Regions from separate parts of the Mus musculus genome. Here all the other regions are reported to be linked to region 1. Evidence: microRNA targets listed by miRTarBase, many of them from high-throughput screens and not tested one by one. Region 1 holds a microRNA gene; each other region holds the end of a gene's coding sequence.
The links. The annotated mature microRNA mmu-miR-466f reads ACGUGUGUGUGCAUGUGCAUGU and lies in region 1 at 4,931-4,952, opposite strand. An mRNA with a match to its seed (bases 2 to 7 or 8) in the 3' UTR can be bound and repressed. Matches are read on the target gene's strand: a 7mer-m8 pairs with bases 2 to 8, a 7mer-A1 pairs with bases 2 to 7 and ends in A, and an 8mer does both.

Region 2: miRTarBase lists Eogt as a target of mmu-miR-466f. Seed matches in the 3' UTR shown: 7mer-m8 at 1,949-1,955 and 7mer-m8 at 2,245-2,251.
Region 3: miRTarBase lists Mbnl3 as a target of mmu-miR-466f. Seed matches in the 3' UTR shown: 7mer-m8 at 1,471-1,477 and 8mer at 1,428-1,435.

What each region holds. Positions count from the first base shown.
Region 1 is chr13:71,104,261-71,112,059 of GRCm38, reverse strand. It overlaps Mir466f-4 (microRNA 466f-4), which reads right to left and starts at 4,971; the gene lies at 4,851-4,971. It overlaps Gm40997 (a long non-coding RNA gene), which reads left to right and starts at 5,633. Exons shown (of 3, transcript XR_873655.1): 1 at 5,633-5,712.
Region 2 is chr6:97,105,551-97,113,349 of GRCm38, reverse strand. Eogt (EGF domain-specific O-linked N-acetylglucosamine (GlcNAc) transferase) reads left to right here. Exons shown (of 18, transcript NM_175313.5): 17 at 567-669; 18 at 1,144-3,326. The coding sequence ends at 1,290. Among named protein-coding and RNA genes, the nearest start is that of Eogt, 39 kb to the left of the region's middle.
Region 3 is chrX:51,114,330-51,122,128 of GRCm38, forward strand. Mbnl3 (muscleblind like splicing factor 3) reads right to left here. Exons shown (of 8, transcript NM_134163.5): 8 at 1-6,689. The coding sequence ends at 6,678. Among named protein-coding and RNA genes, the nearest start is that of Mbnl3, 88 kb to the right of the region's middle.

The DNA of each region.
Region 1 (7,799 bases):
AAGATCAAGCCAGTCAAAATTCTAGGACACGGGTGGAGACAGGCTGCCACAGATGCACCTTAGGTAGAGGAGGTTCATGTTTTGAATGCACATTGACAAGAGCTATCTTACACGATGTCTTGTTCTTCTACCCAGTCAAGCAGTATTTACACCACTATTGTGCTCTGCCAGGCTATCTGTGCGCAGGGAGTCCTCAGACCTGCCTCTGCTTCTTTTCTGTGCATGTGCTGGGAACACAGGTGAGCTTAGCCAGCTGCTAGAACCAGATGAGTGACTTAGCAAACCTCATCAGGAGTGAGAAGAGAAAGACTGCCAGCAACATCAGGTCGCAGAACTCCCCCAGAGTGGAAGCTAGCTGGTGGTGACTCAGTGGGATAGCGTTCAGGAAGCTCAGGGAAAGGGAGGTTGGGAAGGAATGTGTAAGGGAACTCTGTGTGATGTGGTGGTTTCCCCAATAGAGTATATTGGGATTCAGAGTCACACTCACTGAGGGACAAAGGGTGACTGTGATGCGGTACATGTACACCCAGCAATGCAGGTACAATACTCTCAGCAATGGAGAATTAAAAACATACATAAAAATCTGCTCCTAAAAGCTTGTGACAACATGGAGCTGGATAGGTGGTTCAATGGTTAAGAGCACGGACTGCTCTTACAGAGGGCCTGAGTTCGGTTCCCGGCAACCACACCAAGCAGTACACAGTGATTTGCAATACCAACTCCAGGAGAACTAACCCACTGTTGTGGATCCTCGGGCAACTGTGTGGACTTGGTACACACATAAACAAGCACACACATATACACATAAAAAAAACCGATTAAACGTCTATAGCTAATTATTACCCTATTTAATAATAATCAACTTATTGTGTCCTCCAAGATTAGAAAAAGCTATGAATATTTGAAAAAAATCCACTTTGTTTGCGTGTGTGTGTGTGTGTGTGTGTGTGTGCTCCAGGGTATCAGACCCCTGGAGCTGAGGTTACAGGTGGTAGCCCCCTGCCTTATGTTTGTGCAGGGAATCAAACTCTCACCCCTCGGAAGAGCAACAACGTGCTCCCCTGCCTTCAGAGTCGCTCCACTGTGGTCTGCTCCCTCCTCCTACATTGAGAGATTTTGGTCAATACCATCCAGCAACATAAATCACCAAAAATAGGAGAACAATAGCAAATTATTTTTATTTTAAATGAAACTATTACGCAGAAACTCTGGTAGAAACTTCCAAAATCGGAAACTAGGGAATTTTGTAATAAACAAATGACAAAAAAACTAATTGTGTTTCTATCCACTATAAATGAATAATCTGAATTTTAAAAATCAAATACCAAAACCATTTATAAAAATACCATTTATAGACATGAAAACAACGTGCAGAAACTGGACCCTGGAACGCGCGTGACTTTTGTGAGAACTTGCAGAGACTTGAAACCATAGACGCTCACGTTACATGGGGGTGGGAGGCTTAGCATCATGATAATGCCATTGCTTTGCAAAATGGTCCAGAGACCTCAGCAGATGTTTCTGGCAGAAACTGACACACTGTGTTTTAAATCCTTATGAGACACAAAAGAGCATCAAAACTACATTAAGAATTTAGTAAATCAGATAAACAATATAACCTCGCCTGTATACTGTTCCTGGAGTAGAACTTTAGGGCTGAAGTATTATGAAAATGGGAAAACGTCAAGAAAAGAGTTCTAGATGGACACGCAGAACCACAATAATCTCCATCAAAATCCCTATGACGACATTATCCCAAAAGTCATACGAAAATACAAAACACCTTGATTACCCAGATCAATGCTAAGCAAAAGGAAGAGATGACAAAAGTGATTACAATTATGGGTCAGAGTTGTGACTGTGGGATGGCAACCCCATCCCTCACTTGATGTCCTGTCTTTCTGCTGGAGGCGGGCTCTATAAGTTCCCTCTCCCTACTGTAGGTCATTTTATCTAAGATCCCTCCCTTTGAGTTCTGAGGGTCTCTCACCTCCCAGGTCTCTGGTGCATTGTGAAGGGTCCCCCCAACTTTCTACATCCCGAAGTTGCCTATTTCCATTCTTTCTGCTGGGCCTCAAGACTTCAGTTCTTTTTGCCCACTCAATACCAGGTCAGGTTCCCCCCACCCCTGTCCGCTTTCCCTCCCAGGTCCCTCCCTCTTTGTGATTGCTTTCATTTCCCTCCCAAGTGGGACTGAGATGTCCTGTAGAGGAGCCTGAGGAAAAGAAGGTCCAGCGACAGGCCCAAAGTGGGATCCAGCTCAAGGGGAGTCCCCAAGGCCTGACACTATTTCTGAGGCTCACAAGAAAGGACCTATCATGACTGTCCTCCAAAAGACCCAAGAAGCAGCTAAAAGAGTCAGATGCAGATATTTGCACCCAATCATTGGACAGAAGCTGCTGACCCCCGTGGCTGGATGGATTAGGAAAAAGCTGGAAGAAGCTGAGGAGGAGGGCGACCTGTAGGAGGGCCAGCAGTCTCAATTAACCTAGACCCCCGAGATCTCTCAAACACTGGACCACCAACCAGGCAGTATACACCAGCTGATCTGAGGCCCCCAACACATATACAGTAGAGAACTGTCGGGTCTGTGTTTAGTCAGAGAAGATGCACCTAACCCTCAAGAGACTGGAGGCTCCTTGGGGTTTAGAGATCTGGTGGGGTGGGGGTTTGGGAAGATGGGGACAGGAAGCCTGGGAGGAGGTATGGGATGTGGAAAAGTCAGAAGGTGGACTGGGAGGGGAAAAAAATCTAGAGTGTAAATAAATAAATGATTAAATAAAATTACCAAAAAGAAAAATGAAAAGAAAAGAAGAGAAAAGAAGAGAAAAGAAAAGGAAAGAAGAGAAGAGAAGAGAAGAGAAGAGAAGAGAAGAGAAGAGAAGAGAAGAGAAGAGAAAAGAAATCATTACAAGGCCAAAACATTAACAACAGCATGATACCAGCATACAAAGAGAGACCAACAGGATAGAATTGCAGCTCCAGATTCCCAATCACACAGCTACAACCATCTGATTCTTCACAAATATCCAAAAGTAAACAGGGAAATTCAGCCTCCTCAACAAGTAGTGTGGAGATGTCCGTCTTCACACACAGAAGGCTCTGCTCTCTCACCCTGTACAAACCCACCCCACCCCAGTGTATGACCGGAAACACCTAAACTCCTAAAGTAAAACAGGGAATACTCCAGAGTCCAGGAATGAACAACGACTCTAAACAGGACTCCAAACAGGAGCAAGAACTAGCCAGTGGGATCCCTCGGATGAAACGATCACTCACAACTACTAAAGCAGCGGCAGTTCTCAACCTGGAGATCACAACCCTGTGGGGGTCCAACGACCCTTTACAGGGGTTGCGTAGCCAACATCCTGCATATCAGATATATGTATTATGATTCATAACAATAGCAAAGTTACAATTACGAAGTAGCTACAAAAATAATGTTACGGTTGGGGGCCACCACATCATGAGGACATGTACTAAAGGGTCGCAGTTGTTAGGAAAATTGAGAGCCGCGGTTCTGCTCTAAGGGAAAAGCAGGCAAATGCTGGTAAAGAACTGGTGGGGTCATGAGCTGGAGCAGCCACTATGAACTCAGTGGAAGTAAGAGTTTGTCGTTCATGTGATCCTGCTGTGCCCTTCTGGGCATACAGCCAACGAGTGAAGATCAGCCTACCACACATACCTGCATGGGCAATCGCTGACTCATGCGGCCAATCCAGGCATCCATCAACAGATGAGGCTACAGAAAAGACTCAGTGGAGTTTCACTCAATCATGTAGCATGCAGTCAGGATGTCTGCAGGAAAATGTCTAAAGGTGGAGATCATAGCAACGCTAAGTGAAACAAGCCAGTCATCACAGACAGGCTCTCTGTCTTTTTGTATGTGCACATGTGCACATAACAGGAGTAACAAACGGATGTGAAGCAGGAGAGGAAAACCCTGTGAATGTGTAAGCGGAAGAGAGTGCGAGAAACAAACCCAGAAGAGGGTGGGTGTGCCACAGCGCTTTGTGTCACATGAGCGAAAGCTATAATGAAACCTCTCGCTCTGTACAGTCGCTGTGTGCTCATGAGAGACGCATTCACAGACACACACGCCTACAGCTGATTTTTGATAGGGCAGCAAAGACAGGGTAGGCATGTCAGGCTCATCTGTCAACAACAGGGTTCAATAAAACAGCTTCAAACTGTACCTGAAAGAACTTGCGAAAATTGACCCACTGGGGCCCAATATAACAATGAAATATAAAACTAGAAGGAAGTGTCAGATACTTTATGATATAGGTCTAGATTAAAATGCGATGTAAAAATTACAAGTCAGGGGCTGGGGCGATGGCTCAGTTGGGAAAGTGAGTGTCCTCGAGTCTGAGGACCAATGTTGTGATCTCCAGCACCATTCAGAAGTCAGGCATGGCGGCCCATCTGTAACATTAGCTCTGAGTGGTACTGGGAGGAGCGATGCTGGGGCCTCCTGTCAGCCAGTCTTGATATGGGTGAAGAGCAGGTTCTCTGAGACTCCAATTCATAAAAACAAATAGAAAGAGACAGAGGAAGACACCCAGGGTCTGACCTATACCCATTTACAAATACATGGAGACACTCACACACACACACACACACACACACACACACACGCACACACACACACACACACACGATCACATGCACACACACGCATGCACACACACAGTCACATACAGGGATACACACATGCACACATACATGCACATACACAGATACACACATGCACATGTGCATACAACATACAGAAATATACCCATATACATACACATGCCGACACATGCACATACACTCACATACAGAAACACACACTCACATACATACACATATGCACATTCACACACAAGTAGACACACAGATATAGATGCACACACATGCATGCACACACTCACATACAGATACACACACATGCACATGCACACACACGTAGACACACAGATGCAGATGCACACACTCACATACAGATACACTCACATACACAGATACACACATACATGGATGAACAGATACAGAGATACATACACACACACAGATAAACAGGATGACAGACACACCTACACACACACAATGTTAACCACAGCTTCATGGGCACTGGCAAACAGAATCTTGCACTTGGCCATGAGGACATGGGTGGGCATTTACTGTTCAAACGTGGATGGATATAAAATATCAAAATGAGGGCTCTGAGCAACAGGAGTTAGAGAAACAGGATGCTTATTTAATTAGTTGTAACAAGATGTTGCAACTCTACTTCAGTAGCTGTAAACACCCTGCATTCCCCCTGGAAAACATCAGGAGCTGAGGGAGAGGACTTAGCACGTAATGTGATTGGATCATACGTTTGTTTATTAGGCCCAGTCTCAGAAATGAGGATGTATGTCAATCAAAACCTAGCATTGAACAGGACATACTTTGCACATTTTCTGTTAAGGAGGCCTGTGATGGTTTGAGTATGCTTGACCCGAGGAGTAGCACTATTAGGAGATGTGCCCTTGTTGGAGCAGGCGTGGCCTTGTTGGAGGAAGTGTGTCACTGTGTGGGTGGGCTTTGAGTCACTCCTCCTAGCTGCCTGGAAGACTGGTCTTCTAGCATCCTTCAGAATAAGGTATGTTCCTTCTCCAGCGCCATGCCTCTCTGGATGCTGCCATGCTTCCTGCTGCGATGATAATGGACTGAAGCTCTAAACCTGTAAGCCAGCCCCAATTAAATGTCCTTTAAAAGGGTTGCCTTGGCCGTGGTGTCTCTTTACAGCAATGGGAAGACAAGGGCTCACTGAGACTTATTTTTCAAGTCCCGTTGAGATCTCTGTCTACCCCAGACCCTTCCTGAAGTGTTTATTTGTCCTTAGATTTCCATGACCCTCCCGTCTGCATGAAGGTTTTTTTTGTTACCTTTGAGTGATGGGCATAATTTATCAGAAGCTACGAGGACTGCTCGATACTGGGGAAATGCCCCTGCTCGCTGCTCGAGACATGGTTCTGCCCATTGGCACAATAGCTGTGTTGTTGGGGCTGCCTGGGTTTTGCCTGGAGTGATGTGTTTAATAAGGAGGAAGGCACTATCCGCATTTTAGTTTGTGTTTTAGGGACAAGTCTCAGGTGGCAGAGACTGTCTCAAATTCATATAGAGTCCAAGACTACAAAAGGCCCCTGTCTCCCCACCGACCCTACCCAAAGAAAAATAAAAACACAGAAAACTTAAGGCCAACGTTCTCCAGAGGAAGGACTTGCAGCGCATCTGGATTGTTTTAATTTTATTTTATTTTATTTTTTCCTGTTACCACTCCCCTTAAATAAATCTCAGGTTTAAGGAGGTTACTCAGGAGGTCAGATCCACTGTTCTGTCTTTGAAGTTGGGATTCCCCCGACTTCAGCAATGCTGTTCACGGTTCAGGTATGAGAAGGGTTTTAAGGGAACTTCACTCTAGAGACTTCTAGCTCTCAAGCGCAAGTTGCCTGCTCCGTAATCAGCTTTGCCATCTGACTGCTGTATCAGAAGGTATTCACTTAGCAGTAATTAAGAGGAAAAGCTGATTTTTATTGGTTCCAACTGTTAAAGAATGTTTGCCTCGCACCCTGGCAGCTGCGGTGCACCAACGGGGCAAAGGCTGTCTTCGGCTGCCACCTAGCGTCCGCCTTCGGAAGCACGGACACTGTTTCCCCTTCGCTGAGGCCAGCAAAGGGGTCTGTGAAATTCCCCGCTGCTCACAAAGGAAAAATGATTTCCCTAAAAGCCACAGTGCTTTTTAGAGACCTTGGCCGCGGTCCAATTTAGCTTTACAGTAGGGGGGAGAGGCAAGAAGAGAAATGAGCCGTTTGATTTTGTGTTGCTGAATGTATTTTAATAAAGATTTTGAATGCATGTTTTAAGTAAATTCCCAGGCGCTGCAGGGCAGCTGGACATCACGAGAGGAAGAGGAGCTAGTGTAATCCAGAGGAACCCAAGTCACAATTACAGCGTTCACTCTTTCCTCATTTACAGTTCATGAAGGAAGCAGTGCCGTCTCGCTTATTTCATTGTTCATCTGTCTTCTAAATTCGAGTATTAGAGCATCGAGCCACTCTGAGGACGAAAAAGAAAGCAGGCACGTTAGGAAAGCCCCCAAATGTTCTGAAGCACCAGGGAAACCAAACGATTGCTCCCAAACAGCCCGTGAAATTGTCACAATTACCTCCCGAAACCACAGGGTTCTCCACGTTATTTTTCTCTCTTCCCAGCTGACTCAGAAGGAAAAGATCCAGGGATCTCTCTCAATTTAAACTGCAGGGTGGGAGGAGGCTGTCCCGGCGTGGTGCAACTGCTCTGTGAAGGATCTAACTTCAAGGCACCCGTGGCCTGTGACCCGGAGAAGGAGTTTGCAAAGTCCTAAGCCTAATTTCCAAATTTTGCACTTGAGAAAGCGGAAGCTCTCAGGAGCTGAGCATCTCTGGGCGATTACACAGCTGGTTAGAGCCGGAGCAGGCTTCTCACTGGGGTGTGCTCTCCCCTTCACTGCCTTCTCTCAACTCAATATTAATATTTATGTGCCCTATGCATGAACATACTCTGCCACATCCTACAAGACAAACATACACCTTCTAGGAGTTGGAGGGAATACGTTCTCTCACACATGCACATAGAGGAAAGCAAAGCATCCCAGCTTATAAAACTGTCTGGATTTAGAACAGATCATATCTAAAGCACCATCATGATTTCTGTGTTCTAGAACCCGAGTGTTTTCAAGATGTTTGAACAGTTCAGGGACCTTTTGCTCTGGCAATAGATTCTTCACTACA
Region 2 (7,799 bases), not on the chromosome of region 1:
AGGTAATTGTGAATTCTGTCATAATTCATTGGTCCTAGAGAGGGGAGCATGGAAAAAAGGGAAAAGGGGGTGGGGTGTGGATGAGATATGGCAGCCCAGCAGACCTGGGGTGGGCTATCTGCTTGCTTCCTTAAGCAACTGCTTAACCTGTAAGGTAATGTACTACCTCCTTGGATACAGAGAGGTAACATATTCTTTCCATGTATGTAAAGATAATATCTTACAAGACAGTCTCCAGTTCACAGGCAGTAGGACCTATCGAATAAGGTGCCCACTCCTCAGTCTTACTCTGACTCTTTAAAAATCAAGGCAAGGTATTGAGGGTATGAATTTAAACTCATTTTTTTGCGCTGTACTCAAACCCAGGGCCTTATGCATGCTAGCCCAGCATGACCACAGTGCACCCTGAGAATGTGTGTAAAATTCTTTCTCTCCTGTTTGTTATTTACAAAACCTTTAGTAAGACCACATTTGGGAAGTGGATGTTTTCCGCCATAGAACATTACGCACTAGGGAACCTCCTGGTCAAAGGCCTCACATCATGTGTGACACCCTTGTGTCCTTAGGTACAACTGTGAAGATGAGCGCTGCTACTTAGACCTGGCCAGGCTCAGAGGCATCCACTACATCACCTGGCGGAAGCCCAGCAAAGTATTTCCTCAGGATAAGGTAACATTCACCAAATGGTTTGGAGTCCAGTTATTAAAATGCAAGCCATCACTGAGCCTCTGTTCGTCTCTTGAATACTAATATTTTTTATTTGCAAGTTAGAGAAAAATCTCAATGTTGTTAAAACAGCTTACATCAGTTTACATACAGCAGCCATCAGCAAACAGTAGCTCTAATGGTACAGATCTGGCCTACGAATTGTTTTTGTAAATAAAGTTTTATTGGGTACCGCCACATTTGCCTGCATATTGTCTGGGCTTGATTATGCATCTCCTTGGCAGGGCATCTATGACTGAGAGCAGATGGTTGGCAGAGCTGAAACTATCATTGGGAGCTCTGTGGGAAAAGCTTGCCAGCCCATGTTGTACGGCATAAGTTGAAACAGTTGCGTTAGCCAAAGGAAAATGATTTTACGTCTATAGAAAGACACACCCTTCGGTGACTCCGGGATTTTGTTCTGGTTTGTTTCTGCAGGGTCACCATCCAACTCTGGGAGAACACCCGAAGTTTACCAACTACTCTTTTGATGTAGAAGAATTCATGTACCTTGTCCTTCAGGCTGCAGAGCATGTACTGCAGCACCCACAGTGGCCATTTAAGAAGAAACATGATGAGCTATAGAAGTGTTGAGGTTGTTTCCAAGAGTGTTGACACCCTCTCACAGCCATAGACTCACAATCAGAGGAGCAGAACAGCCTGTCATATCCTACTGTAAGAGGAAACATGACGTTTTACTTCTGAATATAGCTCAGGCTGACCTTGAACTAGTGATCCTCTTGCCTGAGCCAACTGAGTGCTCACCTTACAGGTGTGCCCCACCATGCCTGTCTACAGAGTTACTTTTTGTATATGAAAGCACACCTCCAGGAGATGCTAAGTCTTCCATGTGTTTATTGTGTCTTTGCTATTTATCAAAGGTATTTTTGCACTGAAAAAGGTTACTTTTATAGTTCAAAGGTGGGCAGATGCCCATTGGTGTGGCAGAGCTCTCCTGTGGGGATGCAAAGTTGTCAACATCGGTGGCTTCAGACTTGATATATGTGTTTGTTAACTGTAATGTGATCTTGATTCCAGAGTGTCATGGCTTCATCTATTTGGATAAACTCATCTATTTGGATAAACTCAGAACTGTTGTTATTTGCCATTGTATGTTCATAAATATGGTTGTAGGGTCTGGGCACATGGCTTAGTGTAGAATGCTGGCCTTGCATGTATGGGCCTCTGGGTTTAATCCCTAGCAACACCACACACACACACACACACACACACACACACACACACACACGTCTAAGTCTGTGATTCTCAGGACCAAACTATAGGACTACGTTATAGACCAGTAATTAGTCAACTCCAGATTCCGTGCATCAAGAGCCTGACAAAGATCATGCTGTTGTATTTATTAATTTTGTTTCTATATCTCATTTCAATCATGTTCTCCCCAAATGTAATGGCAGTGTTGATAAGAGCCTGTCAGAACATTCTGTAGTACCATCTCCACTGACGCTTCAGCCGTGAAGACCCTTCATGCTGACTTGGCATGAAGTCTTAGTTTCCATCAGGCCAGTGTTTGTGAGCACACACGGCTGTGTGTATCTACCTCTGGCAGAATGGAAGTAACCCTAGTCTCTGTAAAACACTGCCAAGTAGCCACATGAAGAGAAGACACTTTCCCTGTTTATTTGTTTTTTGATTTTTAAAATAAGGCCATTAAAAACACGGTAGACCTGTGAATTATCCAATCAAAACAAAAGCCCCAAGAAAGTGGCACTGAGCAAACAGGATGCCCAGCAGCAGGCTTCCCCTGGACTGCCTTTGTTTCTTACTGCTAAGCACATAGCTCAACAGTCAGAAACCATGGGTTTGTTCTATTGTACAGTGTGATGCTTGTGTCTTATTAACATCTGCGGCATCTCATTTAGAAGCTACTTTTAATTTTTTTACAATGCACTTAGCAAATCGCAGCCAAGGACTTCATTTTTTAAATTTTAGAGAAGCGACCTACAAAATAAAATATTGGTGACTAACAGCTCCTCGGAGGTTTGCTCTCTTTTCCTTTCAGGAATTGTTAAAAGAGTTGTAGACTTTATTTATTAAAATACCTTTCAAGGAAATAGTGGCCCTCTATAGGCAGGACTTCCCTTTGGGTCAAAAAAATTCTTTGGAAAACATTGTAACATGAGGAATTGTTAAATGACAGGTTTGCTGCTGTTCCGGGTGCAGGATATTAGGTAGGCAGGGGAAGAAGGGGCTGTCCCACAGGAAGGGGAGGGAGTGGAAGGATCATGTTGCCCCGGACATCGAGGACAAACATCTGAGACTGTGTCTGGAAAACCTTCCTTTTACCTCATTTCAAGCTGCACAGGGACCTATGTGTTCACAGACTACCGAGGATTCCAGAAACTGAGGACACTTTCATACTGAAACCGTATTTGAATATTTTGCAATTAGAATATACTTTATATAAAGACAGTCATTTAAAATTTTAATTAATGGGATTAACTTTTTTATCAGACTTTTGGTGGGAGCAGAAGATCTGCAGATTGTTGTAAAATCTAAAATGTAGATATGGCCCTTTTTTATTAAGTCTGTAAGGAGATGCATTTCACTGTACATTTTGGGTGTAGCTTTGGAATAAAGTTTTCTATATTTCATTTACATATCTGAACATCTTCAGGATTTTCTGTGTTTGAATGTCACATTCCTGCTTTAAAAATAATCTGGTGGCTTGCGCATAATTAAAAAAAATTAGCTCACTGATGAAGGATTCAGTGTAATCAAAAATTATACCTCACATTTATTTAGTAGTTGTATTATCTGATGCTTCCACAAATGTGGCCCTGCACAAACTTCACCAAGATAATAGGACAATGGCTTTCGTGAGAAAGTCAGGGGCTGGAGAGATAGCCCAGTGGTTAAAGCACAGGATGCTCTTCCAGAGGATTCAGGTTTGACTCCTTGCACCCACAGAGCAGCTCACAACTATCTGGAATTCCAATTCCAGGGGGTCCGACGTCCTCACACAGACATACATACAAACAAAACACTAATGCACATACAACAAAAATAAAACATTAGAAGCGTGGTGGTGGTGGTGAATGCTTTTGATCCCAGCACTTAGGAGGCTGAAGCAGGAAACTCACTGTGAGTTTGAGGCCAGCCTGGTCTACAGAGTGAGTTCCAGGACTGCCAAGGCTAAAGTAAATGAGACACCTTTAAGTGATGCCCTGAAGGTTTCAGGCCTTGCAATCCAACACAGATTCTTTGATTGCTCCTGCAATCAATGCGGAGCCAGCTGCTGCTATGTACCAGTTACTCTCAGTGGCCTCTGGGAAGACAGCTTAGTTTCAGGGAACTTAGGTTTTGGTAGTAAAGATGGGCACTGAGCAACATGGATATGGGAAAACACAGTGTTCCAGACCCTGGTACTGCCGAGGAGAAAGCCAGGGTAAGGAAAGGGTGTGGGGTCTAGATGTCAGTGGAGACCTGCAGGCTTAAGTATAGGGTTCTCATGGAGGAGGTGACAGTTGAGTCTAGAAGGCTACAAGGAGTGAGGGATGGAGGTAGGAAGATGGTCTGACAAAGAGCATACCCAAACTGGAGAAGGGCAAATGCGAAAGTCTCCAGGCAGAGCCTATGTGTTGAGTTTGAGGACCAACCATTGTAGCTGATATGATAGAGGAGAGACAGAAGTTCCATAAAGGATAATGCCACATGTAGACAGCAAAGCTCTTGTCTTTTCATTCTGATGAGGCATAGATCACCGAATGGATCTATACAAAGGAGTAAGGACCTGGCTTTCCCTTGGACAGTGTAACTCATGTTGTTAGACTGAGAGCAGGTAGCAGACAGATGTCTTAGGCTGAGTTCTTGGGATAACAGATTCTAGAATGAAGGGTTGCAAGCTGATGGTTTATTGTGGGAGGATTCTCATAATCATAGTTGAAGAAGCACGAGGTCCAAAGGGGGCAGGGGAAAGCATCACCTGGAGTTTAGTAGAGAGACATCTTTAGGGGCACTGTGGTACGTACGATCTTTCAGAGAAGTCCCAATGGATATGGGCGGTACAACCATCCATGTTGGAGCCATAGAAGGGGGAATAGGGAACCTTGACCAGGGCAACTCTCCAGATGGGGGCAGTTTTCAGGAGAACAGGCTGCTAGAATCCACCAGCATCCCCTACAACCTGGAGGCTGAGAGCCTGTCTGCAGGGAGAAGGCAAGACACAGTGCACAATATCCACAGCCAGGAGAGGGCAGTGCTTGGGCTGGTTCCATTCTCCCATCAGTTTCTGGCCAACTAGAAGTTTGAGTTTAGAGTCTTCATTGCATGCAGATTTTGTCTCTCTCTTCCCTTCCCTTCCTTTCCTTCCTTTTCTTTCTTCTCTTTTTTCCTTCCTTCCTTCCTTCCTTCCTTCCTTCCTTCCTTCCTTCCTTCCTCTCTCTCTCTCTCTCTCTCTCTCTCTCTCTCTCTCTCTCTCTCTTTCTTATTTTTAAAAAGTAACACAGATAACACCATGAACTTCAAGCTATAGATTGTTAAGGGTAAGGACAGTTCTTATTTTAGAGAGTAATTATTTCAAGGTTGGTGGCCATACTTGGGTTCTGTTGAGTATTATCAGTTAACTCCCCATTCCTACAATATTTCTAAAGTCAAAAAGATAATTCTCCTATAAGTTTAAACAGAGAGGGTAAGAAATGTACCCAAAGCCACCCAGCAGGCCACAGAGAGGTGGATGGAGGGGGTTCTTTGTGAAGAGATTTTACTAGGGATGCTTAAGAGTAGGTATGGAGGGAGGGAGGGAGGGGAAAGTTAATGGAGACCACAGAGCACAGGGAAAGATGTTCTTAGGTTTCTTACAATTACCAAGCAGTTTTCTTTGAACACAGGGAAAATAGAAAAAATGTTTTTCAACTGGAAGCCTGTCTGTCAGCTCAGGCGTGATTGCTGCAGTTTAGTCACTTTCCTCATTACGGCGTCAAGATACCCTACAAAGGCAACTTAAGGAAGGAAGTGGCAAAGATTAATTTTGGCCTAGAGTTCAAGGATCCAGTCCATCATGGTGGAAGAGTCATGGCAGTAGGGGTCTGAGGCAGCTGTCACATTGCACCCGCAGTTCGGAAGCCCACAGAATGAGGACTGGACTCAGCTTGCTCTCTCCTCTCTCCTCAGCCCAGGGCCCAAGTGGGCAGCGTGGAATGGTCTTCTTAGCTCAGTGAGACCTTCCTAGAAACACCATCAGAGACATAGGGGTGTTTCTATTGTTATTCTGTATCTAGGCATGCTAATGATGGTGACCGTCACAATTGTCCTGGAGCGAAACCAATCATTTAAAACAACTTCCGGGGGTTAGGCTAGGGACATAATTCTGTTGGTAAAGAGTTTGTCTCAGGTGTAGTGATGCACACCTATAATTCCAGCGTTCAGACATTGGGCTCAACTTTACGGTCAGCTTCAGATACTGACGTTGAGGCCAGTCTGAGCTACATGAGACCCTTGTCTCAAAAAACCACCACTAAAAACAAAACATTTCAACCTCCCTCAAGCATGAGATGTCGCCAGAACACTCAAGGGCCACTTCCCTCTAGGCACCTCAAAAGATGAAGTCATTATTCTTAGCCTAAAAACCCCCAGCTGAATTGAGCATTTGCTTGCTCTGTTTGATCTTGCTCACTGTGGGCATGTGTACTTACTGGCCACAAGGTGGCAGTCAAGACCTTCCAAATGGTGTTTAAGGCCTGTAAAGGCTGGGAAACTTTTGGCTTCTGAGTCTGGGAGGAAGGCAAGGCTCTCATTGTTGGGGAAGATTTCATTCTTCAATTGAGAGAACTTGGGGACAGCTTTCAGGATGACTGGGAATGTATGTAGGACACCTTTGCGGCTGCCAGCAAGTTGTGAAAGGGGCAAGTGCTTGGTGACCCCCCCCCCCCCCCGCAATAATTCTAGCCTCAGGAGCTATTGGTGGGGAGGATACATTCTGGAGAGCTTGGGGGTTTGACTGGGATCTGAGCTCTCCTGGAATTCTGTATGTAGCATGTCAACACTTGAGTCCGTCCCACTTAGAAGCTAAATTCTTTCTGATGTTGGTCTTATCATTGCTATTATTTTATTTGAACAGAACTCTTAAGTGGGTGAATTCACTGATGGTAAGAAACCTAAGAATTACAGAACATTAAGGTGGCACGCTAAGGTTGAGTCCACGTGGGTATGACCCGGTGCAGGGCTTTTCAGGTGTGTTTTAGTTGTTTGTCTCCTTGATGGGATAAGATTCCTGACATAAACAAGATGAGAAACGAAGGAACTGTTTTGCATGACAGTCCGAGGACACATGGCACCACAGAAGGGAAGATAGGAACATGAGGCGGCTTCTGTCACATTGTGTCCCCAGTGGGAAGGAGAGATACTGCAACCAGCTTTTTTGGCTACTTTGTGGGTTCTTTTTTCTTCCACCCTTCTCCAATCCTATTTCACTCTTCCAAACCCTCCCAAATGCTAGGTAGGATAGAAGGAAGGCTAGAGAGGAAAGGGGGCGGGGTCGATATCATTAGACCACTTCCTGCTCATTAGGGTCTTGGAGTTGCTCAGGGCAGGTTTGATCTCTGCTGTCAGGATATCCAAGTTCTTCTTCTCTCTTTGTACCTGATCACTCGACAAACTGCAACAAACCAGAACAACAGCTGCCAGCAGCAGGCACCACAAGCAGCTGCCCTGAGCGGGGCCCATCTAGCATTTATACGCTCTTTCAAGAGTCTCTAAAATTCCAACTGTCATATACTTGCTGAAACGATCTGCAGCTGGCAAAGTCATGCTCCTGCTACAGCACGAGGAAAGTTATAGTCAGCTTCTGTGCATAATTTAAACTAGTCCCATATCCTACACCTGGAATTAAAACAAAAACATATTCCTATAACACTTCCGTGTTAAAAAAAAAAAAAAAAAAGAAGAAAAGAAACCAAAATTCTCACGACCAAATACTCAGGCGGCTTCCTTCCTTTTATTCAGTTTGGGATTTCACTCACATTCAGGCCAAATCCTTCTTCAGCTAAACCTTTCTGGAAATGCCCCAGTAGACATAGCCACACGTGTGTTTCTGGAGAGGTCCTAGATCCTAAATAGGGTTGACAAGGAACGGT
Region 3 (7,799 bases), not on the chromosome of region 1:
ATTCTTGAAGTATCTATACGGAGTGGCAACTTATTTCAGACCAAAGCACTTTTCATCTTTTATGATTGAGGAAGGGTTCTCTATACACATACATTTTCTTTGGGATAATCTAGATTTTCAATTCCAGTGGGTAATTCACTTATAGGCAAGGCAGAAGGGCTAGAAATGCTAAGTTTGTCAAACTTAAATCCCAATTTATCTTTTAGCTTGAATCACATGCACTCGTTATACTTAATCCTCTCCTTTGTTTGAATGATTGAAATACAGTCACTATGTTTAAGCTTCAGCATGGGACCAAGTGGTGGTGGGCATGTACATGTTATAAATTCATTGGCTATCTTTTGTGATGCTTCAAGGCTCATCCCTACTAATTTATGGTTGATAGCTCTGGACTTAAAATCTTATCACTGGCTAACCAGGGTGTTAGAGCATTTGCATAGCACACAAAGCCCTGGGCTGTATTCTCAGCACCATACACAAAATTTCATCTTTCTATTGTCCTTATGAAGATGCATTCTTATGACTTAGAGATTCACAAGGAAACGTCCACGTAAGGATGCTGGTGAAGTAGTGAAATTATGGGGGTAGTAAGGCTGAAGTGGGCATTCTTAACTATAAAATGAATATATGCTTCCATCTTCTATTGGCTAAAAACAGCTGCTCAGATTGTCAGGGCGTTTGTTGTATAGCCATACAACAAACTGACTTAGTGATCAGAAGCTGAAGGGAAAATTAAATAATTTTTAGCCAACTGGCCCTGAGCTACGGGATACATGTAAGGCTTGGGTTGTTTGTAGCTTTGGTCTGTTTTCCATCTTTCTCTCTCTTTCTTCCCCCTTTTTTCCTTTTGCAGTCCTGGGGATGGAACCCAGGGCCTTGTTCATCCAGGCAAGTGCTGTACTAATGACCTATGGGTGCAGATCTAGTTATATGCCTCCAAGAGAGTTAGCAGTGTATGAAAAGCAACATTTCACAACTACCCTTAGCCTAGGATGGGGTCCTTAGTGTGAAAGACATCTGTCTTAAGATGGGAAGGATTCAAAGTGCCAGAGATGATCTGTCCCTTAACCTTTCAAACTTCCAACTTTGCTAAGCCTCAGTGCCTTGGAGAACAACAAGAAGGCTCCTTGGCTATCTGCAAATGTGGAGTGAGAACTGGCAGAGTAGGTTAAATTGACATCATTTTCCAGGGTCCATCTTCTATAAGATTTGGGCTGCTTCACTTCTGTTTAGTTAAAACATTAACAATTTTTCACTTAAATCCACATTAACTGATATAATTTTAAACTACGAAGGATGAGATCTGTTTTAATTAGATTTGAGAGTAACTAACTAGCTTGTAATGTACAGAGTAGTTTCTCTTCTTTCTATAATTGGAAAAAAGAAAATCTCTACTGGGAACCTTATCCATTATGTAGTATAAGCATTCGTGTGTGTGTGTGTGTGTGTGTGTGTGTGTGTGTGTGTGTGCGTGTGTGTGTGTTTTTACAGTGGGAGTTAATTCAAAAAGCAAATAACTTTTGCTAGTAGCCTTACGAAAAGAAGTGCTTTGTATTCTCACTCAGTGCTGTTAGGGGGATCTGGCATGTGTTAGCAGTCTGAGCTTCTGGTGGGCTGTAGCCAGCTAGCAAGCCCCCTCAACAGTACTGCTACACTATGCTTCCACTAATTCTTAGAGCCTCAAACAGCACTCTCACTAATGCTCCTCTATTACCACAGACTTCTTACATTGTCAAAAGCTCCAAGGATTGCTTTCATGGACTATGTACATAAGTGCAAAAAAAAAAAAAAAAAAAAAAAAAGATGGGTCTCACACATTCGCACCCTAACTGGGACAGTCGGGGAACTGCAGCATATGTCTCTTAAACACTGTTCAGGGGCTCTTCTATAGTATCTTTATGTGTGGCTTCACAACCATGGGTTAATCTCAACATGTTTACTTATGCTTTAATCCTCACATATAGTTTTTGTGAATAAAGCCAGAAAATATAATCTTTTTATAACTACAGATACTACACGAATAGGTAGTTTTGAATAAAGTTGTGAAAAAAAGGCCAGGCAATATCAATGTCGAGCTTGTTCTACTGTAGAATAACCCTATCAACCCAACCAATTCTTTAAACGATAAAGCCCAATTCTAGAATCCATGTGTTATAAACTTCTTTTTCGAATCAAATGTTAACATGAGGACACAAATTCAGCTTTCATATATGGAACACAGGGCTTCAAAAACATCATCAGTTTTCTGAGTTTTGAGCTGTATCTTCAATATGTTTGCACTGTCATGAACCACATATAGCTTACACATAAAAGTTTTACATGCATAAATGTCTAAAGGTAGCCATGTTGTAGTTTTGTTGCCAAGGCAACAACTAAATATATTTAGCTGACATCTATCATTTGTGTACAACGCTAAATTTGTTCTTGAACTGTGGATTGTAGAGGGTAGTTCTGGACTGTATCTATGCTGAATTACGCTATGGTCTCAGTTTAGAGCCTACAGAGATGGTCTGAATAGAAGTGGTAAAACCTTAAACCTTCTCCAACTCTCCTTCAAAATTAAACTCATTGGATACTTAGATATAAAAATGTAGTACAATTAAAACTTTAAAAACTAACAATAAGAAAAACGAAAACATGGCACCAATTAGTAACTTGGTACTCAGAGCCTGTATTTATAATCACATTTACAGTTTATAGTTTGATTAGACTATCTACTAAACTTTCAAAAAAAAAAGCTAAACTCTCTTATTTGCTATTTTATTCTACTATCTCTAACAGACTCCGGTAAAATTAGGCCACTATCTTATTAAATCTACAAATCAAAACTTGGAATCAAATCCATCAAATGAATCAAACCGAATCAGACACCCCTCCCCCCAATTTTACTCATTTCCATTTCAGTGAAATGTAGAAGAGCTTTCTTTTTTTTTTTTAAAGGTGGAGCGAGAACTTTGTTAGTAAGCCTTCTGCATGCCACAGCCTATCCCACAGACCGCCAGATCTTCGACAACCTTGGCTGCATTTTGTCTAGGGGCCTCCTTACCAACACTCACCAAAGACAAGGAAGAGAATCACCTGGCATTCCGAGGAGCTCATGAGCGCCTCAGCTGCCTCTTTCCCTTCCTACAATGTACTGTAGCTGCTGTTCGTCCTCCAAACAGCACTGTCTCACTCCTTATGCTGTTAAAGTGAACCCAAGCACAAAATACTAAGTTAATTTGGTTCCTGCTGAGAGTTGAGAGCAGGAGAGTTGAGGGTCCCATGAGTGGACACAGTCGAGTGGCATAGGACAACACTTATGGCAAGATCACAGTGTTTTAGGATGCTCAGAGATGAACGGCAGAGCAAGACTGATGGAATAGCAAGCAGACTGCTTTCATGAATAGATGAAAACTGAAAATTTATCTAGAAAAGTCAAATGAAAAGCAATAGCTAGGTGTGGATTCATGCTCCAATTTCAAAAGTAAACACTGTATTTAAATAGCAGTTGTACGAATCCATTCAATTTCATTCTAGTTCCTACTCATTACGGTCTCATGGTTTTTTGCAAAAACTGAAACTAAGCTCTTCTTAAATGACAAATTTAGATTGCTTATTTGTAGGTTTGACACATTTTATCCAAGTTTCAGTGTTCTTGCAAATTTTGGCAAAAGGCTGAGATGGACAAAGCCAATAATTTTGGAGAAATAAAAATAGAGGCCATGGCAAAACACAAAAACTAAAAAATGCTAACTAGAAATCACATCTGATTAGAATTTGGTTTATATACAAATACTTGGGTAAATTTTCATTTAGAGTCACTGATTGGTTGTGACTGGTCTGGTTAACTCAATTTATAGTCAAATGACTTGTCTTTTCTTCAATAAGATCATTAGTCACTGCACAACTAGAGTGCCAGCTTAAAGTTTCATTTCCCTCAAAACTCCATCAAATTTGATCAAAATGTTCGAGTTTTGAGCTTGCTTTCTTAAGCTTCATGTACATTGCAACTTTTAAAATGCTAACACTTATATTAAACTCATCGCACCAAAAAGACAACTACCCTGAATGTTCCCCACTGAATCTCCTCCTAAATATAAGTCAACATTAATATCTTCCAGTGCTTAGAGCAACAAGAGAACAACTCTACTCTAAGTTTATCATCTACATATATCTTGATCAAAATTTTAAGAAGTTAAACCAGATAGTATGTTGCACCAAAGTGTCAAACTACAAAAAGTTTATTTTGCACAAAACATTTCCATATCCATTAATAACTACATCTAGACTAGCTCAGGTAGATTCTTCCTGGAATTGCGATGTTAGAAAACAGAAATATAGTGGTTCAAAGAGCCCACAGGTAAAAGGACAGACAACTCTCAATCTCTTAGCTCCAGGCAATAGTCAACAAAGGGCGGAGGTCCAATATAAAAACAAGAGTATTTAGCAATCACTGGTAACCAGGATTCACCTGGATAATTAAGATCAATGAGATACCATCCACCAGAGGTAGTTTTGCTTTTTTAAAATGCTGAGCCGATCTGATCTGCTTTGCATAGGAGTCTCAAATGTTCCAAAGAAAGATGTAAAGAGGGAGAGCAATTGGTTCCCACAATGGCTAGGCAGCCAGCCTGAGGCAAGTCACACAGTCTGGCTCTCTGTTTTACCAACCGTAGAAAAGGCAATAAAGTCTTTGCCAATGTCACTGTTTGGCAAATCAATCCAACTACCTGTCTTATGATATCCTGGACAGTCTCTCTTTCCTCCCGATTTTCATGAAGAAAAACAACTGTTATATGTACAAAAATTTGATTTTATGCTTTCTGGTGGGAGAATATATACTGAGTATAAAATATTCAATTTACTTAGGCTTTTGGAAAATACATTTCCTCCCTCTTATAACAATAGTAGTGCTAAGTAGAAGAAGTACACTATATGTCACAGAAATAGATGGATTACCATATTTGTAGCTTATTTCCTAAGTATTAGTTAAGAAGAATTCATATCACACCTCCATGGGGCTATTGCTATTCTCTATTAACCAAAGGATGTTAAAACTAATTTTGAAACACACACAAAGGCAAGTAAGTTCAGATGTGACAAAAATAGGTTTGGTTCTGAGACAAAACTGAACAAATCATCATCTCCCCCCCCCACAGCCAACCCTCTGATGTTAAAGTTTTGGCAGAGAAACCCTTGTCCATACAGTAGCACAAATGCTTGCTAATTCACTGCTGCCTTTACAAAAACTGGAAACTCAACTAAATTAAACTAAACCGAAAGACAACTTCGGAAACCTTTTCTAGTTCTTTTGCACATTCCCAGTCATTTTAAATCTCTCCCTGCCCCCATTCCTGCCATTTCTCTAAACCTGTACTCAGCCTCCTTCTGTGATCAATAGAAAAGATGGTCCATTTGGGGAGGCAAGGCCTCATTTGGAAACAATTTTCTTTCACCTGGCCTGACTTTTGCCAGACTGCATCTTACTTATTATTCAAAGAATAGTCAAAAGAGCACGAGCCATTTGCATTTGGAAAACAGCATTTGTGCAAAAGGTTACAATGCAAAGGGTTTACACACTTTCTTCCAGTACATAAAAACTGTCTCCACGCCCACATCTCTCTGCTTGATTTTCAGCCTGTGATTAGTATACCTTTAAAGTAGTTAGTACCAGTTTCTCAGCTGAAGATGACAAATGGCTCAAATTTAGACACTCAAGCTGAGAGATAGGATTCCTGTAACACAATAAATGTAATGGCTACTCTCCGTAATTTTTATACATGCTAAGAAATTTATTGGAATGTGAACACTTGATTCTCAAATTATTTAAGAGGAATGGTTTGAGGTTAACATTTGAACTTTCCTATCACATGTAGGGAAGTTTTTTTCTCTTTTAAAAATTTAGTATATTATTGACTATGCAAGGTCAGATCTACAGGTAAAATTCTATATATGAAGAGATTTTGTGCACACTCAGAAGTGAGGCCTCCGGAAACTTGCAGAAATGTTTTAAAGAGGGCATATTACCATGAACCTGTCACATTTTTCAGTCACATATAGTTCTGTTCACCACTTATGATGCTTTAATTGAAATCAAATATCACGTATAAACAAGAAAACACTATAGCATGAAAGAGCTAAGCAGAACCCAATTTAATACAATATACCAATGGAGGAAAATGGTGTGGGAAATATCAGTTACATTCTACATCAATCCTATAGACTATCTTGTAAACAAAACAGTAAGGTAACACTTCCAAAACAGAATTTATCCACCAAGAGTATACAGTAAGCCTACAGTACACTGTGGAAGTTCATTTATTATAAACCATTACTGGAAAGCAGTCACAACATTTTACAGTTATATTCAATATGGTAATTCATATCATATGGAAAATTCATGTAATATGGATCTGATAATTCATATACATGACAAACCTGTATGGTTGTATATTGTATGCTAATTCATATACAATGAATCCGTATAAGGTAACACATACTGGTTAATTTTCTATTTGCTTTAACATCTCCACAGATTTTTAAAATTTGAATTTGTCAACAGGTATATGCGCTTTAGTATATTGACTGCACCATGCTTATTGTCGTGTTGGTACAAGAAGACATACGAGAATACATATAGAAAGGCCACACGGAGTTTCTTGTTGAGAGATTCTGATACTCTGTAACTCTGCTGCTCAATATTTCAACTGAAATAGAAAACAAAACAAGAGTCAGTAAGAAATACTGAAGGGCTATTGAACAACGTGTCAGGAGACCTGACACAAGTTTTTATTCCACTTCTATATATGGACTAATAATCCAAGATATTCTTCACTCTGAATTTCAGACCCTCTGTGACAGTGGGCTAATTAAATCATTAAACAGACACACTGCTGGGATAGTCTATGGGAGGTTCCAATGGTGGGCCATTTTTAAGGTATTATCTATATAATGCCAAAATTTTTGCTCATCACCTAAATATTGGTTCATCTCATTCAAAAGAAACGTGCCTTCAAAATGTACTTAATACCAAACAGTTTGAAAAGTTCCAATAGTAAGCAGTGTTACACTTTTATCAAACGATCCTACACCTTTGTAGAAATATCCTGAGTAAGTCATACACTATTATACAAAGTGACAGGTTTGATCTTCGAAGAAAATCTCCACAACTGTCACATGTGAATATGATTATTCTCTGCCAAACACCTCATTTACCAAAGGAATCAAGTGGAAAAACAAATCATTCTTCCCAAACCTATTTTACGTAAAGCAATTACGTTCAATTTTCTTTGCCTTGATGTATAGCTCCCTTTGAGAACTTAGCAAGCACTGGACAAACCTCCATTGTCATGCTTTCCCAAGTTGCTGCTATTCCAAATAACACCTGCAAAATGATTCTAACTTCTAGCTCCTTCAGTTTTTCCACCTTGTTGGAAAACATTCCTTATGATTGGGGGAATCTGCTTATATAGGGTGCAATAGCTGTGGGCTTTGTCTGAAACAGTATCAGGGACCTCTTGATGGGAGATGGGTAACTAGGGCACAAGCAAGCCGATCAGCTGCCTCCTCCAACCAAATGCTAGACTGCAGGTGGGAGCCATTCAAGCTTACTTCATTGAGAACACAGTTCCAAACGGTTCACGTGTTTGTTAGCTGTCTAGGGTTCTTAGGTATATTCAACAGTGTTCCCCGTGAGTAACCCCTTGGATTTACGTGTGTGCTACTAATGGTCCCTGATCTAGGCAAAGTAGAGGTCAGGAATTAAGAGTGGGAAAAGAAGTAAAATAATTATTAGATCATTAAATTATTTTGTATTT